3 linked regions of the Drosophila melanogaster genome follow. The protein of the gene in region 1 interacts with the protein of each later gene in a pairwise test. Each region holds a gene or a part of one and is shown on either strand. Other genes may lie near its edges. The genes, in order: alt, Cox10 and eEF1delta.

Region 1 (11,292 bases):
TTCCTTGTGTGCGAGATCCTGTTGCAAATGTTGCAACTGAACCAGATCCTGCGAATTGGCTTGCTTCTCCCTCCGAAGGGTCTAAAACAAAGAATTAATGATTTGTAACGAATTTGAATATAGGCTATGTTTGAAAATATTCTTATAAATCTCAGAAGCTTTTCTTACCGTAAGCTGTTGACGCTCAAGCGTCAACTTGTCATTCAGACTGGACAGCTCCTGGTTGAGGGCGGCTAGCTCCTGCTCCTTGCCTTGCAACTTATCGATATAAGCCTGGTTTCGGGCATGCATCTGGGCGCGTTCTGTGTTAACCTCTTGGCGTAGTTCGCGAAGCTTAGCCTGAATTCCGATGGAGGCCTCCTGCTCCTCGGCCAACAGCTTTTCCTTCTCTTCCAGCTGACGCTTGAGTTTCTGGCAGATGTCATCCGACCACTCAGAGTGCGAAGCGGGCATATCCTGTTGCTTGTTTAGCAGATAGTCGATGAGTATCTGAATCTCTGAGCGATTTAGCTCGGCACGAGAAAATACGTTCATCAGAGCGTTGACACCAATGGTCTGGTTCTGGTGATCGGCCAGTTTATCCAAAGCATGAGCCAAATCCTTACCCGTTAGGGTTTCCTTTTGATTCTGTTTCTTGTTTTGCTGCTGCTGCTTGGTTTTGTTGTTGGCCTGGTTGTGTTGCGTTTTGGGTGAGCCATTCTGCTGCTGCTGCTGTTGCTTGAGGATCTGCTTGGTCACTACGGGTGCCTCTGTTTCGACAGCTACGACCTTCTCCTTCTTGGACACATTGCCTCCGGCGATCTTTTTCTGACTTTGCTGCTTGTTGTTGTTGTCTTCTTTGCGTTCCTTTTGCTCTTGCTTCTTCAGCTCCACCACATCCTTGGGGATCTTGGTTTCAAAATTATTCAAAGTTGGTGTCTCCTCGGCGTTAGCTGCAGGCTTAACAGCAACAGTTTCGTTCTTGTTGACCAGGATTCCGGCTGTCTTGTTGTTGGCTCCGTTACGTTTATCCTTCTTTCCCTTTTTGCCAGCCCCAGAAGGTTGGTTCTCCTTCTCAGCCACGCTACTGGGTCGTCGCTGATCAGTGAGGACCTCTGCATCGGGTTCAAATTCAACATGCTGCTTGGAGAGACCGGGTTCCTCGCCAGCCACGGAGCCCTGACCCTCCGACTGACCATCGGAGTAGTCTTCGGCTTCCTCTGGTTCCGGCTCGTTGTTCACATCCCTCTGCTGTTCCCGCTGACGTTGCTTCTTTTCGCGCTTAAGTTCCTTCTTCTTGGGCTTCTTGGTAGCGGCACCACCGGCCGCCTTGTAGAGATTGGCGCTCAGGGCACGCTTCTCGGCTACCACCTCCTCAAAAGTCTTGCGCCGGAAGATCTTGTTGATGAACAGGAACGAGAGCAGCGAGGCGCTGACCACACAACCGATGACGATCAGTATGTGGAAGTCCATATTTGCATATCTTTCCGGTTTAGCCGTGGATTTTTCTCAGGGATCTCCTTTGCGAATGCTGTTGAATAAATAGAGAGTTTCTCGTTACTATTTTGTATTTTAGCAATATTAGAAGGTAAATATTTCTAGGTATTTACATTTGCAGGTGTAAATACATATGAAAAAATTAAACAATAATGTTCGATTTCATCTAAAAGGGGAAGCCCGGAATTACGGCCACGTTTTCTCCGTTTGGTTTCCAAGGAAAGCAACCAACAAAGCAAAAAATAATCTCAAGTGTGGAAATGTTAGAAATGCTTTTTAGGGTCACTCGTGTATATATTTTTGCTATCAAACTCATTTCGTAGCATTATCAGCTTTTTTCAGCTTGAGAACCACTACAATGTAGTATAAACTGATGACGTGGGGGTCAAAAATCGAAAAACGCCGAAGAAATGCCCACTAAAAACGACAGATCAACGACACTACATTCAATGGCAATTACGCTTTATATAGCCGGATTGTTTGAGTTGAACGTGCTTATCGGTTTACCGGCCGGAAAATGGTTCAGAGCGCAACAACACAAGTTCTCCTTTTGTATGAACACGTTGTTATTGCTGCAGTTGACTGGGCTTGCTGGACGTTATATTAATAAAAACGCTGTGCGGTTGATAATTTCATTGTTGTTGTTGCTCTGCTGAGATAAAAAAAATGCACTGCTGAATGGCTCAATATTCCTGGTATTCCGGATTATACAGCTCAACTCGCCAATAAATCCCCATGAATTTCAAATTTAGGCAAAAAGGTCATTTGAATTTCATTTGGCGCAGGAAGGGCGATAAGAAATCTCAGCTGGAATTATCGATTCCTCAAAGAACTCAGCGATTAAGACGGAAAAATGTATTCCGGGCAGAAGTGGGGAGCCGACAAAGTCACAAAGAATAAAATTAGCTTATGAAACAGCAGCTGCTGGGCAGCCTTGAACGAAAGTTGGTAGACATTTCCAGCACCCAAAGGTGTTGACGCAGATTGAAAGGAACTCACATAACAATCCGAAAAAAGAATAACAATTTAAAATAACTCAAAGTCTAGATTCTGACGCACACGTATGCAAATTTGCCAATTCGCAAAAAAAATCAACACTGTTTAATCTATTTTCGTTAAACTCCACGAGTCTCTTCCAATGGACACGATGCGAATGCCAAAGGCTAGTGAAAAGATTCGCAGCAGAGCTGGGCTCGCAATTCGAGATCTCTCCTCAGCTCTCTACACTTGAAGCAATTCCCAAGATCGACTAAATATTTATTTTTGAATAGGTTATTTTCTGGATGTTTTCTGTAAGTGCAAGTTACGTTTTATGAGAGCAAGATTTTATTGAAGAATCAGCAAACAAATTTGCAATAAGTCTTGAGTTTAAAATATGCGATAACATTACTTGTATCATCAAAATAAAATACGTTTATATATTTACTCCGCCCAGTTATCTTTGAAACTTTAAAATAATATATATTTGTAGTTTGTACATTTTTGAAATAAAAAATACTAACATTACTAACAGAACGTTTTATTCTCAGTGTGCTTGCGCTCCGTGGCACTTTTCTCTCTTCGCTCCCACCACAGTTAGAACAAAACTTGAAATTTCGCTGACTCCGCGAGCTCAGTGGAAGAATTCACAAATTGCAAAAATTTCAATTCAAGGTTGTTGCTCTCTGCGGCTGCGATAACTGGCAGGTCGGGTATTTATTTTCCTCTGTTGGCTTGTCAAGTTCTGGCTTCTTATTTCTGCTGCTTTGCTGGCTCGCGTCATGTTTCTGGCTAAAAGATACTGACTGTGTTTCTGTTTCTTCTTATCCACAATCAACAAACATTTCTAAGGGGCTTTCAAAAATACTGGGTTACGTGATACTGGGTAGATGAATAATCCGTATACAGCAAATCTTTCCAGGTTTACTCTATCTACATATAACTAACTCTTGATTTCATTTATTAACAAATGTAACCATTTTTAGTGTTTCCAACTGTTGTATTGCGACCATTGTGACAATTTAGATGGTTCATAGCATCTTCACTACAATTTATGAAAGTTTTTACAACTCCAATTGTCTATTATCTAGTCCTATGAAACCGACATTCATTATTACGGATGGGTGGACTGACCACAAAGTTAAATTAATATTTAATGGCACAATGGAAACGGGTTTCCGTCAAACAAATCGATGGCGTTTAACGGAAAGTAAGTAAAGTCCGGGCTGCGGATTCCGATTCCGTGAGTATAGAGGCGGGGGAGGAAGAAGCAGCAGAAGCGGTGGCGGCAGAAGAGAGCCAAAGCCAAAAGAGAATAAAAAGCACAATAAAAACGCCGGTAAAGGTCATCAACCGGAAGAAAAGCGCCCATGTGTGCGTGAGTGTGACTGGCCAGTGTTTTTGTGTGAGTTTTTGTATAAACGAGTGTGTGAAAGTCGAAATCTTGCTGCCAATTATCATTATGACCATCTATAAATAATTATGTATTATGGTCGAACAGCATGCAAAACACGCTGGCTGCTCGGCCTCGTTACAGCCAACTGACAAACTGGCAAACTGACATCGAACTGCACAGTTGGCCTAATTTTCCCGTTTTTCTTTCTATCTTTCTGTGCCGTTGCTTCCCTCCCTCCCCCTTTCTTTTGCGGCGCCCCAGTGTTCAATTAGCTGCCTGCTCACACACACACTCGCACTTGCTGGCACATGGAATTTCTCCCCTGTTGGTGAGCCCCGGCCAGAAATGCCAAGTTGACCATTTTCTGGCCTTTGAAGGCAGCGTGTTTGAAGTGGGTCAAGTATTCGCCAATGCGATTACATCTCTTCAAATGGAAATAAAAAAGTTATTGATCCTCGTAACTGTGTATAATTATTAAAGTCCTTATGCGAATTATAAATGTCTAGATTTGTTTCTAAAAAAAAATTGTTTTTCATAATCAACTTACATATCCTAATAACTTCTTAAAACTGAAAACTTCCAATCTATCTAAAATTTAACCGGGTTCTCCATTTTATATTATTTTTGTTCTTTCATAAAAAAATAATTTGAAATTATACTTTTACTAGCTTGCTTTCGCAGCAGCATCACTGATAACGGTGCAAGTGCTTTCCTCGCTCTCTCTGTCACCGCTGAGCGAGAGCGTACTCGCACTCATTCATTATTTTTCATCTATTTATTCATAAATGCATTTTTTGCCCCTGCTATTTTCAGCGGCTCAAGAGTTTTAATTTTAGAAAGCACTGCTCCCTACTTTTCGTCTTTTTCTCCCGTAATATTTATGCAACATGCAATGCTGCTTTATTTATCTCTGTGGGAAAGAAAGCGTGGCATGTTTTTTGCGGTGTGTGGTGTCTTCTTGTTATTCCTGCGTGGGAGCGTCAGGTTCCAAGTTCGTTTCCCTAATTTTTTCTTTTGGTCCACAGATGGAAGGTTGGTCTAAAATGTGGAGTGACTCATAAAGGCTATAAATAGGCAAATTGATATTGTCTAAAGCTGGCGGTTAATGATTATTGATTGCTGACGTAGACGTCGATAGCATTTGTTGATTGTCAATTGGTTTTCCCCGATGACGAACGATTTTTGAGTCTATGATTTATTGGACTGCAGCTGCTCTGCTCCGCTCTCTCTTTTGAGCTCTGCTCCGCTCTCGCTCCTTTGATAAGCCCGCATATGCTTATGTGTGTGTGTGTGGTGAGGTCAGCGCATCAATTATGCTCATTTCTTGTCTTTTTCTTTGATAAAATCAGCGAACAACAAATGGGAAAGGGCGGGGGCAGGGCCCCGGCCAGACGGCGGCGCCCGAGATTTTTGGCAAATCAAAGCAGTCAGCTGTCCCCTTTGCTCATAATTAAGCAATGGGGAGCAGTGAAAGTGTGTCGACTACTAATTGGCACCTTGAATAATTGCACACCGATAAATAAAGTAGTGGCTTCCTTTTTCCTCTCAAGACAAAAGGGCGTCGCACTGCACTTACACACATACATGTACACCGCTCTCCCCTTCTTATCTCCAGTCTCTATACTTCTAACGCTGATTTTCAGCCGATTTTAAGCCACTTGCAACGTCAACAATTTTCACAACATTTCACATTTACAATGCAGTCTTTCTTTTCCTTCTTCTTTTCTTTTTGTTGGAAACGCATCCGCCATTTGCAAGCCACTTGTGTATGTGTGCCGGAGCGCTGCGCCTGTTTGAGTGTGTGTGTGTGTTGGGTTGTCGCGTCGACAGTTTTTTCATCACTTTGCTTGGATTTAGATACGCTTTATCAAACCAGTTCTTACTTGCAACTGTTAAACTTTTTCTCAACTTTCTTATGCCTTTCGGCTGCGGACTTACACTTTTTCGTTAGTGGGAAAATTGAAACATTTGCAAACAGAGTGACCGTGGCGACATACTCCAAAAATCGCGCCAGTCACATAATAGTCCTAAATTTGGACAACTAGCGATGACTCAAGCCGCCGGATAAATGCGCTATGTTTTTGTAGCCGAGACACGCTACGTGGGGAGAGCGATGTTTTTATCGTGGACACAAACCAAATTGAAATTCTTCACCGAAGATTTTATCGCGACTGTGCCATGGTCGCACTGATTAGCTCACCGAAACGTTCATTGAATTTGTTTTGATTATCTCGAAATAACAAGCTATTTTCTCAATTTTCCTGACAAAAATGACATCGATTGCCAAGTCCATAGTACTATTGGCATCCCTGGCCACGTTCGCTTACTCCCTGTACGTGGTTGGCAGCCTGATGATGTTCCTTTCGACGCCTCGTTCGATTTCCAAGGCGCACACCTGGATTTTCAATTTACTGGACAACAAGTCGCGCCTGCAGACCGCCTATGGACCCGTGGTGTTCGATACCCTCTACCTGATCGGATTCATCTTCCAGCACAGCTTCCTCAAGTCAGCCGTGGTCAAGAAGCTGTTGGCCAAGTTGGGATTGTCGGGTGCGGAGCGCACTATTTATAGCCTGACGTCATCGCTTTGTTTACATGTTTGTATACCCACAAATTGGACAGAAATAGCTCCCAACTGCAACTTTGGACATTTCAGTATTTGATCGTCAACTGGCTGCCCGCTCAGTCGATTGTTCTGTGGCAAATCGATGTGGAGCAGAGTGCTCCGCTTTGGTGGACCTTCGTGATCACCCATGGCATCTGCTGGGTTGTCATCTTTGGCGGCAGTTTGGTGATGGATCTGCCAGAGCTGCTGGGCGTCAAGCAAGCCTACTACGATCTGAAGGCCTACGGACCGCCCATCAGCTACAAATCCGGGGAATTGCGCAATCTGTACGCCCATGTCAGACATCCCTCGTTTGTGGGCCTGTCGGTCATCCTGTTCGCCACGAATGTGATGAGCGTGGATCGGCTAGTCATGGCCTTGCTGCTGACCACCTACATGTACCTGGCCTGGTCCACAGATCAGAAGGATGTGGCCTATCAGAAGATTCAACTGCAGCGCAAGAAACTCGAACTGAAGGCCAAGTAAACTTAATCTCAAAAGTGTTCTTACTAAGATCTAGTTGTAAGTTGACATGAGTTTGTATTGAATAATACTTTTCTAACAATTTCAGTTTCCGAATCAGAACGAAACAAATAATGAAAAAACTAAAAGATATATAAAAATATATATGGTTCAGTTTTTACTATTTTACTACTATTGCTAGCTTAATTAATTATTTTAAAATTTAACTCATTCTTACGATAGAAGGATCAAAGGGCTGTCCTTTAAACGGCGAACCTTCGGCATCCCAGGCAGCTTTCAGGCGATCCAGGTTTATAGCTTGGTCGGGACTTGAGGTCTGAATTTCATTTTGTTGCTTGTCTGCTGCCAACTGCTGGACCCTAAGCTTTTCTATGGTGGCCTGGGTTTCCTCCGGCAAATCATCTATATAGCGTTCGCATTCAATCTTCTTGGAATCGATTTCTGGATCACCTTCGAAGAGCCGATCCCACCAGAGCTCCTTTGCTTTATCTACAGTTATATACAGTTTATGAAAATGGTTTATAAAGATGTTTTAGGTGAATGCCCACCGTAACTTATGATCAATCGGTTCTGATCAATTGTCCACACCGCCTCCTTGTGTTTAATCCGCTGGCTCAGGTTTCCCTCGAGGATGATCGTCTCTGGGCTATGCTTGCTGCTCACTTTGATGTGCTGGGCCTGAATTGAAATGTGCAGCTTCTTCGCCGTTTGATGATCCTTGGGAAGCAGAGCCTGCACCTCCACATCCTTGAGGGTTTGTGACCAGCAGTGCGTTTCGAACACATCTCCGTTTTTGTAGTCGCTGGGGGAGAACTTTGACTGCTCCTTCCCTTTTTGTGGCGGCTGGCTCTCTATGGGTTTCATTTCCTCGTCCTGAGGACCATCTTCGCTTTCCAGGACCACTTCTTCGACGGCAGGCGGAGCCGTTTCTCCATCATCTGCACCGCCTTCCGCGGTCAGGGATTGTAGCAAGCAATCCGGATCGTAGCGCTGCATGGCGCCATATAGAATCTGATCCCTCACGCCTTTGGGGAAGCCTATTTTATCCGCTTCATCGCGTTTTGTGTGATAAAAGTCGGTGCTAAAAAGGGAAGTGGGACTACAGTTTTGTTAAGGATCTTGAGATAAAATCTTTTACTTGCGTCGCAGAAATCCGAAAATGGAGTCCAGGAAACCTGTAATAGTTTTCCGATCCTGCAGAATTTCCATGAGCATAGCATCGTTTCGCTGAAAGTCCATTTTTGTAAGAATAGTAACCGGCCGCTTTTAACTTAACATCTAATGTTCACGTCTATCGATAACAATGCATTTAAATCGGCGATAGCTATTAAAAAGATAGATACATATTAAAGATTTTAGAGTGTGGTCAACATATATAATATTAATAGGAATCTAGTTCTATTAGAAAATAAGGTCAATAAAGCATTTGTTGATCGAATTAACAAAAAACCTAGTTTAGTTAACACAATCAAGTTGGCAGCCCTGCGACAAACTTGGTATATCGATAGTTGTCGCCTTATTTTCCAAATCCATTCCCAAATTGTTATTATTGAAATAATTTTAAAAATGATCGGTAGACTTTCTTTTTGGAACAAGGACAACGTTTCCAACGAGGTGGACTGCTTGGCCTGCCGTCTGGTCAGTGGCCTTGGACTCCTGGGAATTGGTGCCTTCCTATTGGCACAGTCGAAAAAAAGACAAGCGAAACCTCTGGAGAATTTCACTATGAAAGGCTTGGCTGCAGGTGAGCCACTTGGGATCTTAAATCCGGTCTTATGTTTACTCCTTTCTCCTTCGTCGCCATAGCCGTTGGAGTTCTGGGCGTGGCCCGCCTGGCAGACGCGAATTTCCTGAAGGCAACCGCCGAGAAGCCAAAAGAACAGGAAAATACTAGCACTGATCATCAGTTCTTTTCTAGACGTTAATTCAATGACGTTTTAATTATAATCGTAGAGTCACTTAATATATAAAGGTTAATGTTTTCTTTTGTACGACCATGTGGCATTACAATAATATAGCTGTAACCTTGTTTTTAGAATTTTTTCTATTTAAAATCGTTGAAAACAAAACCTTGTTTGCTTTAATGAATTTATGATTTATTTTAAATAAATTAATTACATAGGCATACACAATATTGCATCTTTTGAAAGAGGATCATAAATAAACATATGTTTGTATTAATAATAATATTATAAAATATCAACAGGATTCTTATTTTATAGCTTTCAAAAAAGGTGTTTGCTTGTTCATAGCTTGGCTGTTGATCTATCTATTGATTTCTGCTAAATGTTGTTGCTTGGCTTTAAAGGATATTTTATAGATGCAATTTTAAAACTTTTATGTTCTTTATGTCCTTTTATGTTATATTGTGTCGATTGCGTTCCTTTACTGTTAATCGTCTAGAATCCCACTTTCCCCAGCTTGGTATCAGTCTTTGGATTGGCCGTGATGTTCTGCACCGCCACAATGGTCTCATTGATGTGTGTCTGCAGCTCGCGTAGGCTCTGGATCTGGAGAAGACGTAGTATGCGCATGGGCAGGTCCAGGGCAGAGTCGTTGGACGAGACGACGTCGTTTCCCTTGTCAAAAGGGAAGGGTTTACCCACTACCGGCTTGCGATCCTTGGCGGCGGGCGAGAGGCGTTCGTGCACCACGCGAGCGATAGCCTCCAGCTGCAACAGATGGTTCGGGTGGTGCGGCACATTCAGTTTGCTGGCCAGCAGCCGGACTCCATCCACGAACGCTTTTTCCTGAGCTGGTGGGAAGAAAGAATTAATACTTGTTGTACTTTACCTGATTATCATCTATAGATAATAAAAGTGGTTTTTGGAACCTCTTAAAAAATCCATAATATATAAATTTAAAGTTCCTTAAATGGTAAATTTAGTTAAAATCAGACCATACTATTAATATTTCCATCGAAAATAGCCTGGACCCTTTGTTGGGACTGCTTGCCATTGCTTTGGGGTGGCACCTGTTTGGTGTTAATCGAGGCAAACTGATCAGGATCATCGAGGAAGTCCAGGCGCACAGCATAGCTGACAATCCAGGCCAGCTGCTCCTGCCGCGTCTCCAGGGGCGGCATGCTCAAATCGGCACAGTACTTTAAGTAACCCTCCTTCCAGATCTCAGGGTTGTCGACAGTGCGCAGCTTACAGCGATCCTCTATGGAGTAAAGCCGGATCTTCTGGTCCTCCAACCAGAGGACTGTGTTGGCGAATTCCTTGCGGTCTGCGGAACGAAAAGAATGGGATGACTTATAGCCCCATCAGGAAAACTAGACAATTACCGCTCATCACCACCGGGATGTCAACATCGGGACGACCCAGTACCTCGAGTTTCATCTTGAGCGACAGCATGCTTTCAACGGATTACTATACAAAAATCGATTCGCTCTGTTAATTTACAAAAAATGTTACAGCCGGCTGTGCTTATTCTTATCGCCCAAATTTAAGGGATGGAACATTAAACGAGAGGACTTATCGACGTAGAAATTGGGCTGCCAACTTGCTGTGATAAAGCTGTTCGAATTTAATAATCTCGAAAAAGTATCGATATATAATTTTTAAATCAAATATTTTGTAAGAAACTACTTACTGTCAAAAAGTATTTTTTCCGATAATTATTTTTTTGCACATCATATTATTCAATTAATTGAAGAACTATTAATACAATTTTAAAGCTCTTCATTGACCGATTAAAATTGTCAATTAATTAAAAAAGTCAAATTTATCCCGGAACACGCGAATTCTTAATATTAATGTAAGTTCTTTTAAAATTGATTTTTGAAATTGTAAATTTGAACAAATTGACATTGTAAATACAATGCACAAATTCCCAATCGAGTAACATCGACCTCAATGCTGAAAGTACAGCCTAATAACAGACAAAAGATCTTGTTACTAGACATTTTTGAAAACCTAGACATGGTATTTAGGTGCTCAATTGCATATTATCTCGAATATACATTTATATAATAATCTTTCGCTCAACAGTGAATGTCCTACGCTGAACAGAAGCAATATAGTTTATAATAATATAATAAGAAATATTTTGGGAATGCGTTACCATAGGATTCATCAATCTGACCAATTGATTTGCACTGAAAAAATCGAAATGAGTTCTAAAAAGTATTTCCCCGCCAAAAAATATTTTTCCCTTATCAGCGATAAGAAACGACAAGTACAAAGGCTGTATTGTATATCATATATGTATGTATATTAATTAAATAATTAAATTAAGTTTGAGGGACATACATTTACATCCTAGCAAATTATAGACTAATAACTACACGTTATATATCGAGATGCTGAGTTATAATATTTGTTTGCAAACAACTACACGAATACACGTA
Region 2 (10,466 bases), on another chromosome or scaffold:
GTGGCGTGATCCGAGCTTAAGCTATCCGGAGTCTTTCTATCATTTATGGAGGACGTGATGTCCATCTCTAGTTTGTGAGAGTCGGAACTATCGCCAGAGTCTAGCAAGGAGCCGGTACTCGCCTTGGGTGCTTTTGATTTGAAGTCGGACCCACCAACTTGGTTAATGGTAATACTGTAGTTTTGAAAATCCTCTTCACTTCTTAAGTGTGACTGAATATCAAGCATTGGAGTTTGGCAAAAATGGTGTATTGGGGCCGCGTTCCGTTGATTAGAGTAATCGTTCTTTTGTTTTTTGACGGATAGGTCAATTTCAACACCGTCCTGAATTTCATTTTGGTTTGATGGACGTTTTGATTTTATCACAGAACTTTTAATACTTGTATCTACAGCTGCAGAAAAACACGGAGATTGCGGATTCGAACATGGAGGGGAAATTACTATTTTTTTGCTTATATCCATTAAAACGGCAGCCGTTTCAAGCTGCTGCTGCAGATTTTCATATTTCTCGATATCCGAGTCCTTTTGCAGTTTTGAATCAAACTGGCTGTGTGAGGATCCAGACATTGCTTTGCTCTTTTGATCGCTTTTCATAGTAATTGATTTGAATAAACTTGGATATAAGCTATGTGCTGGCATTTCTTGATTGCTAATCTCGATTTTCCGATCCAAGCCGGGTTGGATGCTGGAATCCAATTTACTGTGGTCGTACTTAACTTTAGAGAACGTGCTTAACTCCGTCAGAGCCTTTGCCGCTATAGCCTCCGATGAAGCCTTTAAAATTGCATCGAGCTTGGTTTCCAAATCATTTGGGTCCTGCAAAAAACATAGTTCGTGAGTAGTAATTCAAATGGTCATTTAATTTAATGGCGTATGACTAACTAAGTTCCTTCCAATCAATACTTATACTTACTGGTCTCAGATTTTTGGATATATTTAAAAATTCTTTCAAAGCTATTTGTGAATTGTGCGCCATGGTTCGAAATTTTTCGAAGGAATCCAATTTTTGTCTGCAGTCGCCACAAACCACGTTGGGTAATCCATCGTTGGGCAGTGCCTGAAAGAAATATGAATGTATCTTATACTGCAGTATCCACTTTTAATATTCAGTTGGCTAGCAATGAGAATGATGCAATGACTAAGGAGCAAGGCGGTAACAAAATCGATCGATGGGATTGATGACTGGTTATACTTGGAACTAAAAGAAGAACATTGGATGCTTTGATATTGTATAAATCAAGCTAAAACTATTTGTATTTTAATCAATTTTATCATTATACATGTATTAAAACTTTAGTATACAATTTATATCTCTGTAAATCTCATGAAACAAATTATTTTAATTGAAAAAAATTAAAAACAACCCTATAAAATGATAAAAAAAAAAAAAAATAACATATGTTCATCTACGGAAATAAACACTAAAGCTCATGAAATGCATTAAGAGCACAAATTATCAAATCAATAAATAAATAAATACATAATAACAAATGAAAGTACTCGAAGTATGTAAAAAAAACACATTGGGGCCATATAAGGTGTATGTACGTCGGTATATCCGCACTTAAACAATCGAAACGAATGTTATCTCTTTGGTGGATTAATGTATGTAGGTCTCTAACATACATCCATGCGTGCATATACACACACGTATGTACATAGCAATATTTACATTCGTGCGCTGGACACTGATGTACGAGTGTGGCGTGGTGTGCGTGGGCCTGGGCCAATGCCTTGCAATGGTTCATCGAAAAAATACCAAACAATTGATACCGATTGTTAATAGGCCATGGGATAAAAGCGGCCCAATCATTTCCTATTATTTTGACGTGTGGTGTCGTAATCACATAGATAACACACACCAGCGCACGGCAAGCACTCGCAAAAGTGCGCGTGTGTGCGGGCATTATCGTGTACATATACGCGATATATCCAACTCACACACAGGTAAGAGCATGCTTGTGTATGTGCGTAATTAATGTAAATTCGTTTCTTTGCAAATGTGTTGGATGGAAATCTGCTTACCTTAATAGAGAGACAGTTGAATATCTGAAATGTAAGATGTGGTGATGATGAATCATCCCGACCGTGCTCTTTGCCGTAGTTATCGGTTCCGCTTATATTTGTTGTATTCACACTTGTCTCTTCGCGTCCGCTCTGCTGATTATGATTATGCTGATGTTCCTCCTCCTCGCGCATTGGCTCCGATTTTGTTTGGGATTGGGATAGCGATGCGGAGGGGGATGGCGTCTCCCCGCTATATTCTATATGTTCGTGATCCGACGATGACTGACTTTTGAATACTGTTGATCTCTCGGCGATGTCCGACTCCAATTGGCATTGGCGTTCGCGCTCACTCGACTTTGCGTCCGCAGCAGAAGGCACACTTGGCGTGTAATGGATTTTAGTTTGGTTTTGGTGATGGTGAAGGGTTTGCGATTGGATCTGCTGGCTTGGAACGGGCACAGGCACGGAAACGGGTATGGGTATGGGCACGGGTACGGGTGTTCCCTGGTTGCGCCGTTCATTTTTGTTGGCTGATAGCGGGTTATCAACGATGCAACTGCACGGATTGGGGCTTAAAGCGCTGCAAAAGCAGTTGGCACGATTCGCGACGCCACGAAAATCGGCCGATATTCTGTCTGGGGCACTATTATTATGCGACGAATTATCGTAAATCTGTAGTACTGCAACATCGCACTCGTTAACCAATGTGAGGCACAATCGACAAACTTGACGAAACTTATGTGGTACATTATTCATAATTAGAAATTTATATTCGTTTTGCACTGTGTAAAGAAACTTTCATACGCCTCTCCTTTATCGCGATAAAAAAGATAACTGGTAAAATAAATTATAAAATGAATGTAAACACTATTCCTCAATTTTTCATTGTCACAATCCACGTTCAGCTCACTAAAAATAATTCACTCCAGTGGTTCGCCACAGATTTTTCGCTCATTTGATCTAGTTTCCCGTTCAAATTACCAAACGAGGGCTCCAGCGATAGTCGCGTTAGCTGCATGATTCATCTCGGCATCGCGATAAATCAGTGATTATGCTAATGTGCTTCTGTGATAAAACATCAAGGCTATTGCAACACAATACAAAATATTGTTCTTTTCATTTGTAAGACCAACGCATACAGCAGAGGAACCAGTGAAATATACTGAAATAGGGGCAACTTTTTGGTATTTCTGTTATCGATAACGTACAGCTATACTCATTTTTAGCTAGAAATTTTTGACTATTTATCTGACGGATTTTACTATTATTATTAAAATTATTTCAATTGCGGAATATAGTTCCTAAAATAGCTAGAATACTTATCCCTAGGAAATGCGCATGTCGTTTTTTAATCTTGGAAAAAAAACCCTCCAAAGGAATAAACTCTGGAATCTGAAGAAGAGATGCCTTACAATGCCTTAAATAATACGTTCGATTCGATTGCTACAATTTATCAAAATAAAATAGATTTAAATTCCTTATTTTCAACAACCGATGAAACAACGGGAAACGGGATTACTTCCACTAACAATTTTTACCGTTTCCGTGCTTTTTTTGAAACAAGTGCTCAAAGAACAATATAATAAGGTCATACTTAGAATCTTGCAATTTAAATTACTGTACGGCTTAAGATTCCATGCCAAATTGTATATTTTAAATTTATTTGTATTCAGCGCCGGATTGGTTACACCGCATATTTTTCAAGGATGTCGTGTCATTTATTAGGCGCAACATATATTTGCCGCACAGGGGTACGTGTTTCCTTAATATTAAATGACTGTTTTTACAAGTTGCAGAACACTAAGTATATTTAAATTTCACACGATACTTAACATTTTATCAAATTAATGTTAATATTTCTATCTGGGTCCTTCGGCTACGGCGACGGGCAGGACATTACCAAGACTGCTAGCAGAATGCTTTATCGCACTGTACGTGGACTCCTTTTTGTTCTCCTCACCGGCGGGTTTGCTGAAATACCATTCCTTCTTATTGGTCAGAAATAGCAGCATCAGGGCGGGCAGGTGTATCAGTGAAAATCGGAACAGCTTCCGCGAGCTCCCACTATCTGACTTTTCATGAAACTTGTACGCTGCAAGCAAACAGAACGTATTAGACATAACATATAGGATTCCATGGTTAATGAGTATATTTACCAAGGTAGGCGAAGTACGCGTTCAGAGGTAGTGTTTCCAAGGCAAACCAGTAGTTCGTGACGTCCAGTACGGGTGCCATGGCTGAAAGTCCGACAATAGCCACCGAATATCGCAGCGCAGTGCGGCGACAAAGACCCGGATTGGTAACGGCCATCATTCGGTAGCCGGCACGTGAATAATCCGGCCGGAGGTTCCACGACAGAGCGTTGAAGTGCGGGAACTGCCACGCGTACAGCACTCCGGCTAGGATCATGGCGCCGGCGTCCAGGGTGGCTGCACAACCAGCCCATCCCATCAGCGGAGGAATGGCGCCCACTATCGATCCCACCCAGGTATTGACTATGCTGATACGCTTCATCGGTGTGTATATCGTGGTGTAGAGGAACAGGTTACCCGCTCCCAGCGCCGCCGTCAATCCATTTACTCCGAAATACAGCATACTTAAGCCGGCAGTTGCCGACACCGCGGCGAAGGTAACTGCATGCAGTGGTGTCATTTGCCCCGTGACGAGCACCCGGTTCTTTGTCCTCGACATCTGCGAATCGAAAGGAACTTCGTGATACTGATTAATGGCATTCGCCGCAGCCGAAACGAGTCCTGTGCCCAGGGTGCACATCGCAAACGTTGTGGGATCGAAAGCAGCTGGCGCCATGGCATAGCCGCCCATCGTTGTAATGACCACCAGCGCTGCAACGAAAGACAACTATGGTCGATGCTTGGCCAATGTTTAACCATCTCGCTTACATGTCAGCCGGAACTTGGATAGCTTCTTGTACTGGCTAAGAGTTTTTCCGGGCATGGTGTACGGACTAGGCATCCAGGTAATTTGACTATCGGGTAAATGCTGGACCTTTCCCGCCTGGGATACTGGCGACGCTGTAGTGACACCTTTGTCATCTTGGGAAGCTATCGTTGCTGCAGTGGAGTACTGAAAATTATTGGAAAGTTATAGTTTGTTATAGTGGTTTGTTGCGTAATGGCCAAGAACCTCACCCGAATGAGCACCAAATCAACCGGCGTTCTTAGCTGGGATTGCACCCGCCGAATTCCTTTGAATAATATCATTATTATTCACTTATTAGTTAGGTCTACGGTTATTTCATTTTTCTAGTTGTGTTTGGATTTCTATTACTTTTATATACAATGTTATGGTTTTTTAAATCACATTGTGCTTAAGTGTTACCATATCTCAAAATGAGAAAAATACTGAGTGCAAAAAATTTAATCAGAGGTATTCATAAATTGTTGGGATTGGGATTTTTTAAGAACTTTGAAAAAAACATAGCAAAAAGTTTTAAGCCTATTCCTTAAATAATAATAATATAAGTTTACATTAAAAGAAAATTTTGTGCCATGGTAAAACTCAGAGACATTTTCAGTTTCGATTTTTAAGTTGTTTTCTCAGTTTTTGCATATAAAAAAATAATAAATAATTAATAAATTTTTTGTTCCTTAGTAAATTAAATTATTTGTAATAATATTTAGTATTGTTAACAACACTATATACCAAGATTTGCGCATGCGTCAAACGTGTAATTTGCTTTATATGTGTGGGAGTAATTTTTACATCTGAATGCAGGAAGGCCGAAGTCCTTGTAAGTCTTCATTGATTCAATAATTAACATTTTAAACAAACGGAATACATTTTAGTTGTTAACAGTCGAAACAATCGTTTAAATAAAGCAAATACAAGAAATTATAATTGCAAGTAACTTTGACTATCTTCAGATATTTCTGTTACAAAAATTTGCACCTACACCAACTTTTTTCGGCTTGATTCTTGTTTCTCGATTTTAAGAATATACAAAATGTCAGTTCATTCATGTGTTGTTAAGGACAATGTAACATCTAAACACATATGAAGTTAAATACCAAATTGACTCTTAAAGTAATTTATAAATACGATAATGAGTTGAACTAAAGAAAATAGTGGAGTGGAGATAGTGGTGTCCTTTAGCAAGTAAAAGGAAATAAGAAAAAAACCATTTTATTGCTTTTACTATGTTTTAATTATGTTATGTTATTAATACACTGTAGTTGTAATCAATATTTAAGTCATCTAAACTTTTTTATTTCTTCTAGACAACTTATTCCAATGCCCATGCCAAGAATGGATATCTATATAACAAAGGGCATCACCAACCCCAACTACCCAGGATTTCAAAAGTTCGCGCATACCCTTTCCGATGACTACATAGAGTACTCCGACATGGAGTGCAATGAAAGCGATCTAACCGACAGCGATAGAGAAGATGACCCAACGTTCCCAAGTAAGATGGCCAAGGAATCGGGCTCGGAAACCTTTAAGAATGGCCAAGATTCGATTTTAAGTAACTGCGACAATGGAAACACATATATATCAGAAGAGGAAAGCGTGAACCGATCGGAAAACATTCCGGATATTGTAAATGAAAACTATAGTGCAACGTCGGAAAACTCCAAGCGAGCTTTGCAAAAACCTGACCTTATCTACAATCTAAGCCAGAATTATACGACCAATCCTGAGTTTCCATCCTGGTCATGTACAATTAATTCGAAATACGAAGGGCAGTTGCAAGGCCAAAGTCCTATCGATATTGTTGGTGATTTTGGCGGAGAAGTGGAACGTGAATTCGAGCTACTTCTCACTGGATATAAAAACAAGAAGGAAGCGGATGAGTTGAAGGGATCAAATTTAGATAAGGTATGTAGTTAGTTAAAATAAAAGAGATCAGGCACGTAAAAGCATAATTGTACCTTGCAGATTTGCGATGCAGAACTATCAAATGGAACGGAGGCTCTTAAGCAAACATCCTCGACGCGATTGTCCGGGAATAGTACTCGAAAAAATAAAAAGAAGAACACACCGTACGGACATCAGATCGTGAAAACGAAGCATCCAAAGCCGTCTCATGACGAACGTCAATTGCCACCGGACACGTTCGACTACAAAACGTATAGCCAACGAAAATATATCATTTGTGATGCTGACCAATACTCGTCCGTTCCGGAAAAGAACAAAAACGATAGTCCGAACCTAAATCAGGCTGAAATACCCAACATGAGCAGCTTGGAAATCGGTGGAAGTGGAAGCCAGCAGAATCTGGACGAGGACAATAACAAGGTGGCTAGTCGGAAGTACTCAAATCAATCGCGCTGGTCTCAGTACTTGGAAGATCCCATCAAGTACTCCAAAGATCCATGCTCCACCATGGTTTTAGGTAATTTCAAATATGAATTAATCGTTATAGATTCTTGAGTATATTAATATTTAAATTTTTATAGAACAATTTGATGCGTACAAGATTGCAAACGATATGGATGTAGAAACATTGCAAAACCATTATAAAAAGGTTAAACAGATAGAGAAAAAGGTAGGTACAATATAATCGGAATAATAATATCATTTATTAAATATATATTCCAATTACAGCGGCGATTCAATCGAGATGAGATACGCAAGAGATTGGCAATCGGAGATAAAGATTCTTTAAATAATGGTAAGACCAAAGATATTCTTTCATTACTATATTTTCTTAAATATTATATTTTATATTTAGACATTAAGAAGGAGGAATTTCTAACCGGATCCGATAATGAAAGTTATAGCTCCGACTCTGAGACGTGTCCAAAACTATCAAGTGGAGTACTTCGCAAGCAATCTGAATTCTGTGAAACGAAACGCAATAAGGAATTTGAAAACGATAAAATCTTTCAAAAGAACCAAATCAACCAAGATAAAAGCATGAATCATATGAATGGCAATCCCATTGGTACAACAGATTATCCGTCGGATGAAAACTTGTTTTTCTTTGCGAATCAATCAAAACTTCAAATAGAGGTTAGAATAGCACTAGCTCAATCGAAGGAAATAGCTCAGATGAAAGTAAAGGTGTGTTTTCCACAGGATTTATTTATTTTTTATTCAAATGTAATTGTAATTATCTATTTGTAGGCAAGGAAACATGGCGTAACTCCCATTGTGGACGTAATTCGATCAATGCTGTGTGATGTTGGCATCAAAATGAACTCCAACCATCGATGGATTTCGAGGCAGCTGCTCACTGGAATCCAAGTTCCGACTCTCCAGCTATTGGTCAACAATCTCCAGGAATATATTGAAAACCTAAACGTCACACTACTGGAGAGCCTTAAGGAGCGAGACGATTTGAATTCGGACCAAGATGATATATTACACGATCTCGAAAAAATAAATAACTTTTTGTATGTATACAAATATTATCTTATTTTAACTGTGTGTATTAATGTTAATATTTCTTTCTAGTGTTTTCCAACAGCAATCTGGACAGCAAGTCAATAAAATAGTTAGACACGGCCATTTAGATTAAACACTTGAAATTGCATATTTTATTAACAACTTGTTTACAAATATTATAATCTCTTGTATAATTGATAACAATCTACCGAGACCGTTTATAAAACACATACTCAAATGTTCTTCAAACACTGTTATATTTATGTAATTATATAAAGCTAAATAAATAAAAAATACAACTAATTATTTATATTAACACTAAACTAAATTTGTTTTTATAAAACACCTGTGTATTGATACAAGCAGTTATTTATATATTTATTTGATTATCTAAAATGATATATTTTTTAAGAATATGATATAAATGTGAGTGGAACGGTTCGAAATAATTTTGTTTCTTGATCGTTTCAAAGTTAGGCGTTTTGAAAGTGCGGCATTTGATCAACATGTCGCACGGTAACACTAATAATGACTTTAATTTGGCGCCTTTTTGTGCTTGCAACAATCAATTTGCCGCCTCTTGTGAAATATAGCAGTCAAGATGTTGAAGAACAAGTCCATGAAAACCTCAAAGTTATATGTTATTAAGAGAGGTGGGTTACAATTCCTTGTCGCTATGACTGTTCTTAATATATTTATTTCAGATGGCAGGCAGGAGGAGGTGCACTTCGATAAAATAACCTCAAGAATCCAGAAGCTTTGCTACAACTTGAACATGGATTTTGTTGATCCTGTAAGTTTGTTTCTATTGTTTAAAGGTGCTCATCACACAGGTTGCACTCGAACCTAGTAAGTATGATGCGTATTTATATGTGATGGGGTTTGATTTTATCTGCAACAGAATGTGCGAGCGCCCCTGGTGAAACTCATGTGGGAGTCCCAAGATATACAAACCATTTGTAATAAGTTATCAGCAGATTATTTGGGAAGTTTTCCTGATGTGTTATTATGCTTTATCTTTATAGGTTACTATCACCCTGCAAGTCATCAATGGTCTGTACTGCGGCGTGACCACCCAGGAGCTGGACAACTTGGCAGCAGAAATCGCAGCTGGATTAACATGCAATCATCCCGACTACGCCATCCTGGCTGCTCGCATTGCAGTGTCCAATTTGCACAAGGAAACCAAGAAGGCTTTTTCTGGTAAGTTCATAGCTTGTATTCTGAGTTCTTCGGTTAATCCAATCATGATTCTTATTAGACGTCTTCGAGGATCTGTATAATCATGTAAACAAGGAGACGAATCAAAAAGTGCCCTTGGTATCCGAGTTTCACTACAATGTGGTTAAGAAGAACGCCACACGGCTGAACTCGTCCATAATCTATGATCGTGACTTTGGCTATAACTATTTTGGCTTCAAGACCCTGGAGCGTTCCTATCTGCTCAAAAGAAACGGAAAGATCGCAGAGCGACCGCAGCATATGCTGATGCGCGTGGCGATCGGAATCCATGGAGAGGATATCGATGCGGCCGTGGAAACTTATAATCTTCTATCGGAGCGCTACTTCACGCATGCATCGCCCACACTGTTTGCCGCTGCCACAAACCGGCCGCAGTTGTCGTCGTGTTTCCTTCTGACCATGACAGCCGACTCCATCGAGGGCATTTTCAAGTCTGTGGAGCAGTGCGCCATGATCTCCAAGTCCGCCGGTGGCATTGGACTTAACGTACACTGCATTCGTGCAAAGGGCACATCGATTTGCGGCACAAATGGAACTTCGAATGGGTTGGTTCCAATGCTGAGGGTTTTCAATAATGTGGCACGTTATGTGGATCAGGGAGGCGGCAAGCGTCCCGGTGCCTTTGCCATTTACCTGGAACCCTGGCACTCGGATGTCTTTGAGTTCCTGGAACTGAAGAAGAACACAGGCAAAGAAGAGAATCGCGCACGCGATCTGTTTTACGCCCTGTGGATACCCGATCTCTTCATGAAACGCGTGGAGGCCAACGGTGATTGGTCGCTCATGTGCCCCCACAAGTGTCCTGGTCTCCACGACGTGTGGGGCGATGAATTCGAAAAGCTGTACGAGAAATACGAGCAAGAGGGT
Region 3 (10,921 bases), on another chromosome or scaffold:
TTAATGACGTAATAAAATTATGATGTGACTCATAACCAAAAAAAATAAGCTTTTGAAGGTCATGTACTATTTACGTGTACTTTATGTCGATGCTTTCAAACAACCAGATCATCGATTAACGCTTCGAACTATGAAGAAAACGGATGGAAAATATGCTGATTACCATCTATACGTGGTAATAGAGATCCCAAAACAGTAGGGTTCCTCTACAGTATGTCTTTTCTTTAAAACGCAGAGAAAATGAATTTAGACATTATATATAAAAGTATTTAAACAAATTATTTATTCATATATGGTAATTCTTAGTTTAGGTTTTCTTGTAAAATAACAATTTCTTAACTTAACTATGGATTAAAATGTCTAAGAAGTTAAATCAATGGAAATTATACGCCCAGTGCCATTGAAAGGCGGAGCCGCGGAAATCGCATCAAACGTACTACTCTCAGTAGTCTGATTTGTAGTGCTTTTTTTCGAATTAGCCGAATGAGCGTACCAGTCTGTGAGTGCGACCAAGTTCTTAGAAAAATTGCAGTTTTCCTGATTGTATTCCTTTCTGTGTCCCTCAGAATCAGCAAAAGTATTCGATGTACTCAGGGAACCAACCAGTGAATGATTGGCTATCGAGTCTACGGTACAGCGACTAATTACTGAATTAGCCTTATAGTTTGAATAAATATATAAAGATTGCTGTAGGGGCTTAACCGAATTATCAACTATTACTGATTCTGGCTCTGGAGCACATTTACTTGGCTCGACGACGCGGCTACTGTACAAATTTCTGTTGTTATGTGTAAGTTTTATTACAGTCAGTGCATCCGAGCCAAGTCTTTTGGGCGAGCCTATTGCTGGCTCTTGTTGCTCATCGTCGTCCGAGGAGCATAAGTCAATTGTATCAACAACAACTTCCTTTGTGGGTGAAATTCTCCAGTGTGAGTTGAGCGAATTGTGGCGCGTTAGTCTTATATTGAGTTTTGTATTTGCAGTGTGATTTTGCTCTTCCATTACGTGTTCGGATATTTTTTTCAATCTGACTGATATTGGACGGCATTGTTTAATCAGCGGAGAGTTCAAAAACAAAAAGTTCTCAGTAGTGTCCCTGCGTTTAACAAATTGACGCCGCGGAAAGGAATATATGTGATAATTGTGTTCATGTGACTTTTTAAATGTACAATGCACTGTAGTGTTTGTTTTTTTTTCAAAATACTTTTGCTTGGTATTTGATTTATTGATCAATGGAGTGTAACAAAAGCGTTCCAGGCGTTCCTGTCTTTCCGCAATATAATCCATTGATATTGTTTGTTTTGTCGATTTTAACAATTGCTGTCCTGCAGGTGATGATATTGGGATAAACGAACACCTACTAAACGAATGAACTGTTCGATTTCTCCGCGATGGTAAACGCCTCTTTCTGTTTGATGTTTCCGTTGATGTTTCTTCGCTGAATGAATATGTTTTCTGTTTCTCTTTAGATAAACTATTATCGGAGAATTTGGGTTGCAGTTTAAAGTTTAAGAGAAAGGCGTTGCGCTGTTCGATATCTTCGTTTTTCCCATCACTTTTGTTATCTGGCTCAGGGGAATCACAAAGTATAACGTCATCCTCCATGCAACAAATGTTTTCGTGTTCCTGTTATGCAATAGAGTTATTAACTATTAACTTTGACAATCTTTGGCAATCAACTTACGAGTATAGCTTCTTTAGAATAAAGTTCGGCATCACAGTTGTCACATAGGTAGATATCAAAAGGTGGTGGCTCAACCATCATATGCTGTACGTTTTCGCTAATGGAACTGTTGTTCTTTTGCAGCAACAAGCACTTTCTGTTCTTTTGTTGTCTATCATATGACTGCAAAATAACCAATTCAGAATTAACTAATTTTAAAACCCAATTATTCAAAGTAGGCTTGGCTTACCATGTTTTCATTTCGAAATGTAACCAACAGTTTGTTGTTTCTCCTGTCATACAATGAAGTTGTTGAGTTATAATTGTTTATGAATCTTAAGCTCGCGTGTTCATACGCAGCTAAATCATTACAAAATCTTAATAGAAATAAGCTTTTGTGAAATTGATAGCATATAACCACAATTTCTTTCATTTTTTCCATCCAATTCTGTAAAATAGATACAGGTATATATTAGCCATTTATGGGGGTGAATGTTAAATATAAGCCATAGAAATCAAAAGGTAAGGGAAAAAAGCTTACCCCAACAAATGCTTTCGGCTTTTTGAGCGGAATCTCGAAAGGAGCGCTTTCGGGCCACCATTCTGGTTCACTGCAATCTATTTTCTTTGGTAAGTTTATGTGTCCTAAAGAGCATTGCACCATGAAGGGAATAAAATTTTCTAACTGGGACTCCGTAATTTTTTCTAGGGATGTTGGATATCCGTTCGCAAACAAAAGTGGTAGGTTGGATATCATGTTGTGTTGAGCTTTATCTTTTTCATCCATTGTCACTGCAAGTGAATTAAAATGTTATATTTTATTGCCATGTTATCGATAGTTTTCCAAGATAACCGATTAAAACGATTACATATGTATAACATATCTACTTAAAAATTTAAAACTACTAAACTTTCCTAAAACCAAACCAAACAAACGATTTCAAATATTTATTAGCAGTTGTGATAAGTAAGGGGCGCAGTATATGGATCTAGCTGTGTCCGTATGTCTGTCCGTCCTCATGAACGTCGAGATCAATAGAGAATACTGAGGGTGATGAGTAAACTCAATTAGGTACCGTGTAATAGTTGTTCTATAGTCCTTGAAAAGTATATAATGATCATCTGCCTGTCCGTCCTGATGAAGGCCAGTTACTCGTAAAAATATGAAACTAACAAGTCTTTACAGCCTTGATCCGGATTACTAGCCATGTCGATACAGCCATAACTGACTGTAAGTCCGTATTTGTTCGTATAATCGTAAAGCCCTCAGGTACTATTAAAGCTACCCTGGAATTGAATTGCCACGTACATTGTGACACCTAGGGATCAAGGTCTAGAATACATAACTGTTTACGTCCTTTTTGTTCTAGAAATCTCTAGTTTAGTGACCGCAAACATTACTTTTTTGCAGGACCATTTTATGAACGGTCACATTAAAAAATGGCGAGTGATAACCACAAAATGGCGAAGATACAGACTGTCAAGTCCGTGGGGACAATCGATAAAGGTATCGATGATTTTTTTTTGCAAAATTACAATCCTTGAAATGTACCTTTATTAGGTACTATATATCGTATACACATTGTACCAATAAAGTACAGCAATATGATTAAACTTTTTTTTTTATAAAATACTTGTTTTGCCAAAGGCGTTGCCACTTTGGTTTAGAACCAAAGCTAGTGGTTACGCCTAGCGATTTCATGAAATTGACATGAAGTGGAATGTTCCCACTTACAGGTTTGTGCGATATCGCTTCGCGAATGCTAACTATGCAGTTTATACGAGTTATATATTCTTGTGGCGAGCCACGACCAGCGTTTCACTTTTGCAAAAGGGGCAGCTCATAAACCTTGCGTCTAACTGCAGATTTCCTTACTGAAAAACCACGAATTGCTCTCATATGTGTACATGCACACACACGCACACACACACGAAAAACACACATATGTATTCCAAGGGAAGTGGAATAAGTTTGCAAATAAAATTTTTACTGCATAACTTGGGACATTTTTATACGTAAACACACTCACACAAGCACTTCTAGATAATTATACATAAACACAAATATTCATATGTTAAATGGAGTCATCACAATTATGCTGTGGTATAAATATCCCACCTGATTTAGACGAGTGTATGTAATACACTCAACGAAAATTACTATGTTCAGCATCATTTGAAATATAATTTGAATAGTACACACTTATACGTTAAACTGGTTGATAACGAACATTTCGACACCGATTTTGTATGGCAATACATTAAACTCAGTGCTCTGGAATGCTCAGTGCTCTCTGCATATACATATCACTGAGTGAATCCATTAGAAAGGAGTCTCAAAAACCGATCAAAATAGAATCACCATCAGTACGCACCAAGAATTCGCAATGATTAACAAAACGGTAGACACCGAGATCTACAATCACAAATATGATAACATAGTTACAGTACACAACACTTTCTTCGTAAAAAAACCATTTGTTGTAGTTGCTATCGAATAGTCGAAGTGAGAACTGACTGCTAAATGGCTGAAATAATTGTGACAAATACTACCCAGTCTTCAAATTGAAACGCGGAAATGGAACAAAATGTGATGTTGCACTTTTACTTTGCTCTTAAAAAAGTTTTTTACTGTAAATAAAATACATGTACTGGAATTTTTGTGTAAAATCGACATCGAATTAATTCGATTCCATCAAACACAGCTGACGCAAACATCTGTTAATCTCTTATACAAAGTAAAGGAGAGTTGTATACCTTTAAAAAACTTTAAAACATTTTTTTTATTATGGTATCTTTTTCTAGCTTTTTAGTAGCACACAAGGACGAGGTCCGTGATATAAAAATTTTGTTAAAGAGAAGAAGAAGCATTAAATAGTTAAGTGGAAGATAATATATAAAAAAAGTATCCCTCTGTATCCCTCTTTCATCAAACCTCTTCACGCAACGACGACAATTGTGGTGAACATTTCGTTGCAACCCATCACAAGCAATAAATCAACTGATGACAAGTATACACACATGTTGATCCGCAGGCCTGTGCAAAAGTTCGTCAAACATCGATGAGGTGCCACGTGGAACTTACATTTTGCTACGTTGAGATCAAACTTTTTTTTTATTTCTTTCCGGGCACTAATAAGTGTTTCAATTTATGGACGTTTTGTAAAAATTGCAATAAATTTGTTTATTTACTCGCACATCAAAAAGCAGTTCGTATGAGAATGAGAACGTGTTAAAAATTTGGTTGAAATAAAAATGTCGTGTTTCATTTCCATCGTTTCAGTAGCAATAAAAAACGAATCCGATGGCGTAGATATCGATATACCTGCATTCCCTTTCAAACGTGTTATCGTATTGTTCAGCCAATTGTGCAACGTGTTTGAGTAAATCTGCGGGCGAAAGACTAAAAATGAAAGTAGAGGCATTGGACAAATTCTGGGCTGACAAGAGCCGCTACGATCTTGCCGAGAAGCGATTCTACGAGGGTCCCCAGAAGGTAAAATCTCTAAGCAATCACAGCCATAAGTACTTAAGTTGTTAGCCAGTTTCACGTGGCCGGTAAATCAGTTCAAATGGTTTCGGCAATGTTTATTGCAAATCTGTTTGTTTTAACAGCAAGGACGCCGAAACACACATGTTCTAAACTTCAATACATACGTAGAATGATCTATTAAAAGATTTCTATATTTATCTGCCTTTGATTTTCAATTGCTGTGTTCATATTGCACATTACATTGGTATATTCTTGTAGCTGTATGTAACAGGTGAACGTTTAACACTTTTAAAAAATATAACTATGTGCGTAAAGTGTATACAAAACAGAGTGTGAGAGAAAACTAACTCTGGCAAGCCAAATTTTGAATACACTTTCCGTTTGGCAATTGGTATAAATACAAAATATAGTATGCAAAACATAAGTACTTAACATGACACCTACACAACAAAATTCGTTTATTCAATGGAAATGTGCCAAAAACAAATCGATGTATACAAAGTTAAAACCTATTGAAATTCAGGGAAATACTATAGTTAAGTAAAGGTTTAAACACGTTGTATTCTATCTACACAAATATACTACACAAAATGCATAGCACTGCATTGTATAATATTTAAACTACGTACAATTTTTGGGCTGATTAGAGTGAGGCTTATCAGTATTTCAGCATGCTTGCATGACAACAGACTTGAAGTAGATGCCCGTACATAAAACATCTCATTTTGCTTAAAAATTATTATCCCTAGAATCCTTTGTCAACCATTCGATACACCAAATGTCAGTTCACACAAGTAATCAATGGTGTTGTCTTATTTTTAAAGGTAACTGATCGCAGCCACTACAGCCCATTAGTAAGCGAAATCGCAAAGGCTAGGGAACACATACAGAACTCGCTGGAAAAGGTAACTATTGTGATAAATCTTTGTATTTCAACATTTGATTTGTTCACATTCCTAGGTTTCTTTCGGTTTCTTTAAAACTTTGTAGAGAATTGTATAATTATTATTTACAATATATTTAGTCTGTACTTATGATCAACATATCCCAATGAGGACTTGAATTTGAATTATTAATCAAGCCTTTTGTGTGTGTTCCAGATCGATGGCGTTACTCTGGACGATGGCTTAAATTCCGAGCTGGCCAAGCGTCTGGCCCAATTGGAGGGTGAACACAAGGAGTTGAAGACCCAGGTTTCCTTGTTGAACGAACTTTTGACTGCCACAGTGAAGCGCTTGGAAACTCAGCTGAAATTGACGAATGGAGTGTCGAAAGAGCCCGAGGTCGAAGCGAAAAAACCAGAAGCGAACGACGACGATGACGATGTGGATCTATTTGGATCGGACAGCGAGGAGGAGGATGGAGAGGCCGCCCGCATAAGGGAGGAAAGGCTGGCAGCCTATGCTGCCAAGAAGGCCAAGAAAGTTCAAATTATTGCCAAGTCGAACATCATTCTGGATGTTAAGCCGTGGGACGATGAGACCGATCTGAAGGTTATGGAGACGGAAATCCGCAAAATCACCCAGGACGGTCTACTGTGGGGAGCTTCCAAATTCGTGCCAGTTGCCTTTGGCATTCAGAAACTGAGCATTTCATGCGTGGTTGAGGATGATAAGGTTTCCATCGATTGGCTGACTGAGGAGATCGAGAAACTGGAAGACTTTGTCCAAAGTGTTGACATCGCTGCGTTCAACAAAATCTAAGGGGTAACATATAATTTTTCAATTCACGATCGGATTTGCCGCATTACAAATGTGTTTGGGAGTCGTCTAAATAAATATTTTGATAAAAACCAACTTAAAAAACTGCATTTAAACTGGGAGTAATTGGTAAATAGTTTACTTTAGGATATTTTTTATGCAAACGATATGTTTTGAATTCGCTAAAAGGCCATATTATTTCAAAATTTATAAGAAAAGAAGATATATATTAGTTTAAGTCATGTATTCGCCATTCTTTGATTAATTAAATTCATTTACGCACGAGTATAAAAACAATGCAAATTACCTATTAAATAAATATTCCAGGTCACAGCTAAATTATGCACATATTAATAATGATTAAACTGAGGGACTAGTTTCATAAGGCTCTACAAATTATAAATAGTTAATCATAAGTTATTTAACCATCCTAAAGCATAACTTCGTTTTCGGGTCTCGTCGACGTTTGGCGCTTAAACTCACAGCTGCCAGGAGAATGTCGAAGAGTGGTCATCGCGGTGCTGGTTGGAGCATAGGATTTGGTCACGCCAGCGCGGGTTCTAGTCGATGCAGTGCTCGGATTTGATTGCAGACCTTAAAGATTAAATAAATACAAATTACATGTAGTATATTCAACTAACTGCCAGTTAATTGATGCCACTGAAACTTACCAAACTTAAACATAATTTCGTTATAAATTCTGCGCTTAAACACAAATATAATGAAGACAAAGATTCCAAGTAGCACATTAAACGAATCGCTGATGGTCCAAAAGAACGTTTTCTTGTGATCATAAAACAAAATGCTAACTATTTCCAACAGCCATGTGATGCCCATTACGAAACACAGTTTCGTGTTCATAACGAATCTGGTTTTGTCCTGAAAGAATCGCCTTTTCAAAACTGGCTTGTCGCTGTTCAAGCTCTGCATTTTGTATATTTCATTTTTTACTTTGTTGCAATACTTCATTGTGAGCACGAATAGAACTAAGTTTATAATGAAAAGTATGCCAACTGGACCCGAAAAGAACAATAAGCTGGCTGAACCAAAAGAATCATCTGGAATTAATACAAAAATATACAAATACTTTAATATTTAAATCGTAATTTAATTAGATTTTTAACTTACACGTAAACCAGCAACGACCATGTCCAAAATTTGGACGCACCGCATCCGGTAAAATGTCAGATTTCGTAAAAGCTATGGTTATTCCAGTTAGCAATGTTGGTAGCCCCCAGCCATAACACGAATACCAAATAAACTGCCTTCTCAGGTCGCTCTTTTCGCAGCTTTTAAGCTTTGTTGATCTACAATTAAATAAGTGTAAATTATTGCAAGTTTATCTAAATTTCAAAAGCATTTGTACTTACCCAAATGTTTTCCATATGTCAAAGGAAGTAATGTTCATCCAAGAAAAGGCAGCCATTAAACAGAAGTACACGAAAAAACCTTCAAGATACAAAACAGAAACAGTTTGTTTAGGTTTTAGTTACCAAATTGCACAAGAGAATGAGACAAAATACCCTTAAACAATTAAGTACTTGACGAGTATAACTATGAATGTAATAATAAAAGTGATTGCTATCGATTTCCCGCTTTTATGGTATAATAACTTGTAGGTCTCCTCGTCCCAGCAGGATTAGCAACTAATTACCTAATGGCTGCAATACCCACCAGAAAGAAAACAGATGTCGTCATTCGATGTGGGTCGCAATTGGCCCAGCGCGATTCCAAGATATGCCGCAAACAAGCTGCTAACGAGGCAAATTAGGATTTTGCCGGGCAGGTTTCTCAATTTGGCAATTGAAATGTAGACAATCAGTGTGAGTGCATAGAAGCAGCAGGATATGAGCAGGCCAATGGGATACATCTTGAAGCGAATCCTGTCGCCGGTCACCACCTTATTATCAAAGCACAAAAATGTATACAGCTGCTCTGAAAGGAACGAAGGCAAATAATTAGGATTATACAAGACACTACTGTATAAAATATGTCGATTTAAATAGGAAGGAGTTTACCTTTTGATTGGGTCTGACCCGTTCCACGCAGTACTGAGTATTCGTATAGGTTTTGAATGTGTTATGAATGATAAGCGAGCCATTGGACGGATTTATCGTATGCGAATCGTCTGGAAAATTATCAGGATCCAAGCGAAACTTTGGGCACTGCAAGCCGTGAACAATACCGAAATCTGAAAAGTATTGAATACAATACACTATACAATCTGACCTATGTCAATGAAAAGGCAAATGTGTCATTCACTTGTTGATTAACCAGATAAGAAAATTTGACAAAAATAATTAAAATGACAAAGCTAATGAAAAATGTCAATACTAATGAATGACGTAGATAACTTCAATAGCGAAATTTGCTTGGCACTTGAAACCAATTGTTTATACCACTTATTTGATCAGACAAATGGAAAACATCAAAATCGATTGCTTCCAATTCTTAATAATATTTTTGATCATTAAGTTTACGACTTTAATGGGCGATTACTGCGTTCAATTGCCGCTCGTTTCCTGCTATAAAGACCTATAAAAATAACTGCAAAACTGGTGACGACATACCTGAGGGCTTTGAGAAGTTTGCGTTGATATTTAGGTTCTGAAAACCCTCAAATTTGAAATCGGTTCCATCGATCTTGCAATAGGTACTGAAATTTCCTTTTGCATACATTTCACCTTCGGCACAACAACGACGAATACAGGGTATTTTTTGGCAAATTTTCATTTCCTGACAAGCACGCACCAGAAACTTCTGTTCCGGTAATGCACCTCTATCCAAATCCGCATCGTCGGAGTCGTGAATAGCTTCGATGCAAAACTTGGAGCTGGGCAAACTGTTGGTTCCATCTTTCCAAATCAACGAATTATTATGAAAGTGCACTTTTCCGGAGGACAACGTATATTCCACGAGTGCTCTGTGGTCGGAACAGTTTAGGGTGTTATCAAAAAATATAATTGGACTGCTGATGATGGAAGTATAAACAAAGAAATCGCTTTCGCCCGGTTTGCATGTATTATTTTCGGAAACGTAAATAAATCCCTGTGGGCAGCACTTGTTTACAAATCCAACACTTTGAGACGGCACATTCTTTTCGAATTCACAAGATAAAACGATGAGACGTCTGTTTAATAGTCCAATGCATGAGTTATTTCGCAAATTCAAGGTGCGTTCACCTAAATCACTTATACTCAGACTGCTAAAGTTCTGGCACTTTGATAGTGCGAATTGGCTGTGGCCTGAGTCATTGATAGCCTTTTCTAATCCAAGGCCCATTGGTGGTATCAATTTGCCTATCACTTGGGCAAGATCCGGAAGTTCACTGATGTTGCTTGCGGCGGAAGCGCACTGGTATATTTCCGCATTGTCCACAGTGCGGCGATATTTGAATAGTAACGAATTCGCGGCACAGCATAACTGAACGGCGAGCACTTTTGAAATGCCACTTAAAATCAGGCACACTAAACTTAGTCCGATGTTCATTGTTTACGGCTCGTCTATTATACCCAATGACCGATTTGCGAGCTTGTGTAATGTTTGTATCTTTTCTTAGAACGGACTTTTCATATCTTATCATTGAGGAATCGTTATCGGACCATATACACTTCGAACCGCATGCAGTTGCCGGATTTAACGAACTGAACTGAAGTCTTCGCGATTCCTTCGCGAGCAAATGCGAATGTTTATGGGTAAACATTTGGCCCGCACACAGACGGACATAGCTCGACGTATATAGGCAATACATTTATGGATTCTCGTAAGCCTATACAAATAAGTTATGCCCCATGGAGTGCCTAACACTTAGCATGCTGGGGGTGCTCACGGATGGTATCAATACACCCAAATGGCCGCATATTTATGTAGGTACTTTGTGGTTCTAACACATATCTATCTATCTACACAATTCAATTGATGACTTTGTACACTAGCTTCTGACGGCAAGACAAATGCGACTGCTCGTGTTAACATTGTGCAAAGCTCATTAAGGGGAAATTGATAAGGTACACAGATACACACATCCATACACACTTATGTACAGAGGTGGGTGAGGTAAGCAAT

Evidence for each region.
Region 2: the proteins of alt (region 1) and Cox10 interact in a two-hybrid assay, tested with the Drosophila melanogaster proteins (one large-scale study listed by BioGRID).
Region 3: the proteins of alt (region 1) and eEF1delta interact in a two-hybrid assay, tested with the Drosophila melanogaster proteins (one large-scale study listed by BioGRID).

Annotation. Positions count from the first base shown.
Region 1 is NT_033777.3:17,676,669-17,687,960, forward strand, and holds the start of alt (aluminum tubes), read right to left. Parts: upstream 5,848-11,292; 5' UTR 5,789-5,847; exon of another isoform or gene 5,734-5,788; intron 5,576-5,733; exon of another isoform or gene 5,427-5,575; intron 3,209-5,426; exon of another isoform or gene 2,979-3,208; intron 2,620-2,978; exon of another isoform or gene 2,476-2,619; intron 2,036-2,475; exon of another isoform or gene 1,984-2,035; intron 1,511-1,983; 5' UTR 1,453-1,510; coding exon 169-1,452; intron 82-168; coding exon 1-81. Other genes in the region: CG7655 (uncharacterized protein), read left to right, coding at 6,121-6,447, 6,507-6,941; CG31251 (uncharacterized protein), read right to left, coding at 7,141-7,427, 7,487-8,019, 8,077-8,177; CG31360 (uncharacterized protein), read left to right, coding at 8,505-8,682, 8,745-8,863; CG31249 (uncharacterized protein), read right to left, coding at 9,338-9,693, 9,843-10,169, 10,228-10,297.
Region 2 is NT_033779.5:10,326,371-10,336,836, reverse strand, and holds Cox10 (cytochrome c oxidase assembly factor 10), read right to left. Parts: upstream 5,367-10,466; 5' UTR 5,228-5,366; coding exon 5,156-5,227; intron 5,091-5,155; coding exon 4,907-5,090; intron 4,850-4,906; coding exon 4,163-4,849; intron 4,099-4,162; coding exon 3,866-4,098; 3' UTR 3,708-3,865; downstream 1-3,707. Other genes in the region: GATAd, read right to left, coding at 1-815, 913-1,056, 2,025-2,762; Schip1 (schwannomin interacting protein 1), read left to right, coding at 6,258-6,845, 6,906-7,362, 7,427-7,515, 7,575-7,641, 7,702-8,033, 8,097-8,365, 8,427-8,490; RnrL (ribonucleoside diphosphate reductase large subunit), read left to right, coding at 8,959-9,010, 9,062-9,150, 9,383-9,560, 9,619-10,466.
Region 3 is NT_033779.5:10,227,501-10,238,421, forward strand, and holds eEF1delta (eukaryotic translation elongation factor 1 delta), read left to right. Parts: upstream 1-5,006; 5' UTR 5,007-5,072; coding exon 5,073-5,159; intron 5,160-5,980; coding exon 5,981-6,061; intron 6,062-6,256; coding exon 6,257-6,859; 3' UTR 6,860-6,950; downstream 6,951-10,921. Other genes in the region: ova (ovaries absent), read right to left, coding at 361-1,626, 1,685-1,846, 1,914-2,111, 2,205-2,450; mthl15 (methuselah-like 15), read right to left, coding at 7,287-7,450, 7,528-7,914, 7,985-8,163, 8,227-8,305, 8,531-8,786, 8,875-9,047, 9,427-10,345. UniProt on the Drosophila melanogaster protein: EF-1-beta and EF-1-delta stimulate the exchange of GDP bound to EF-1-alpha to GTP.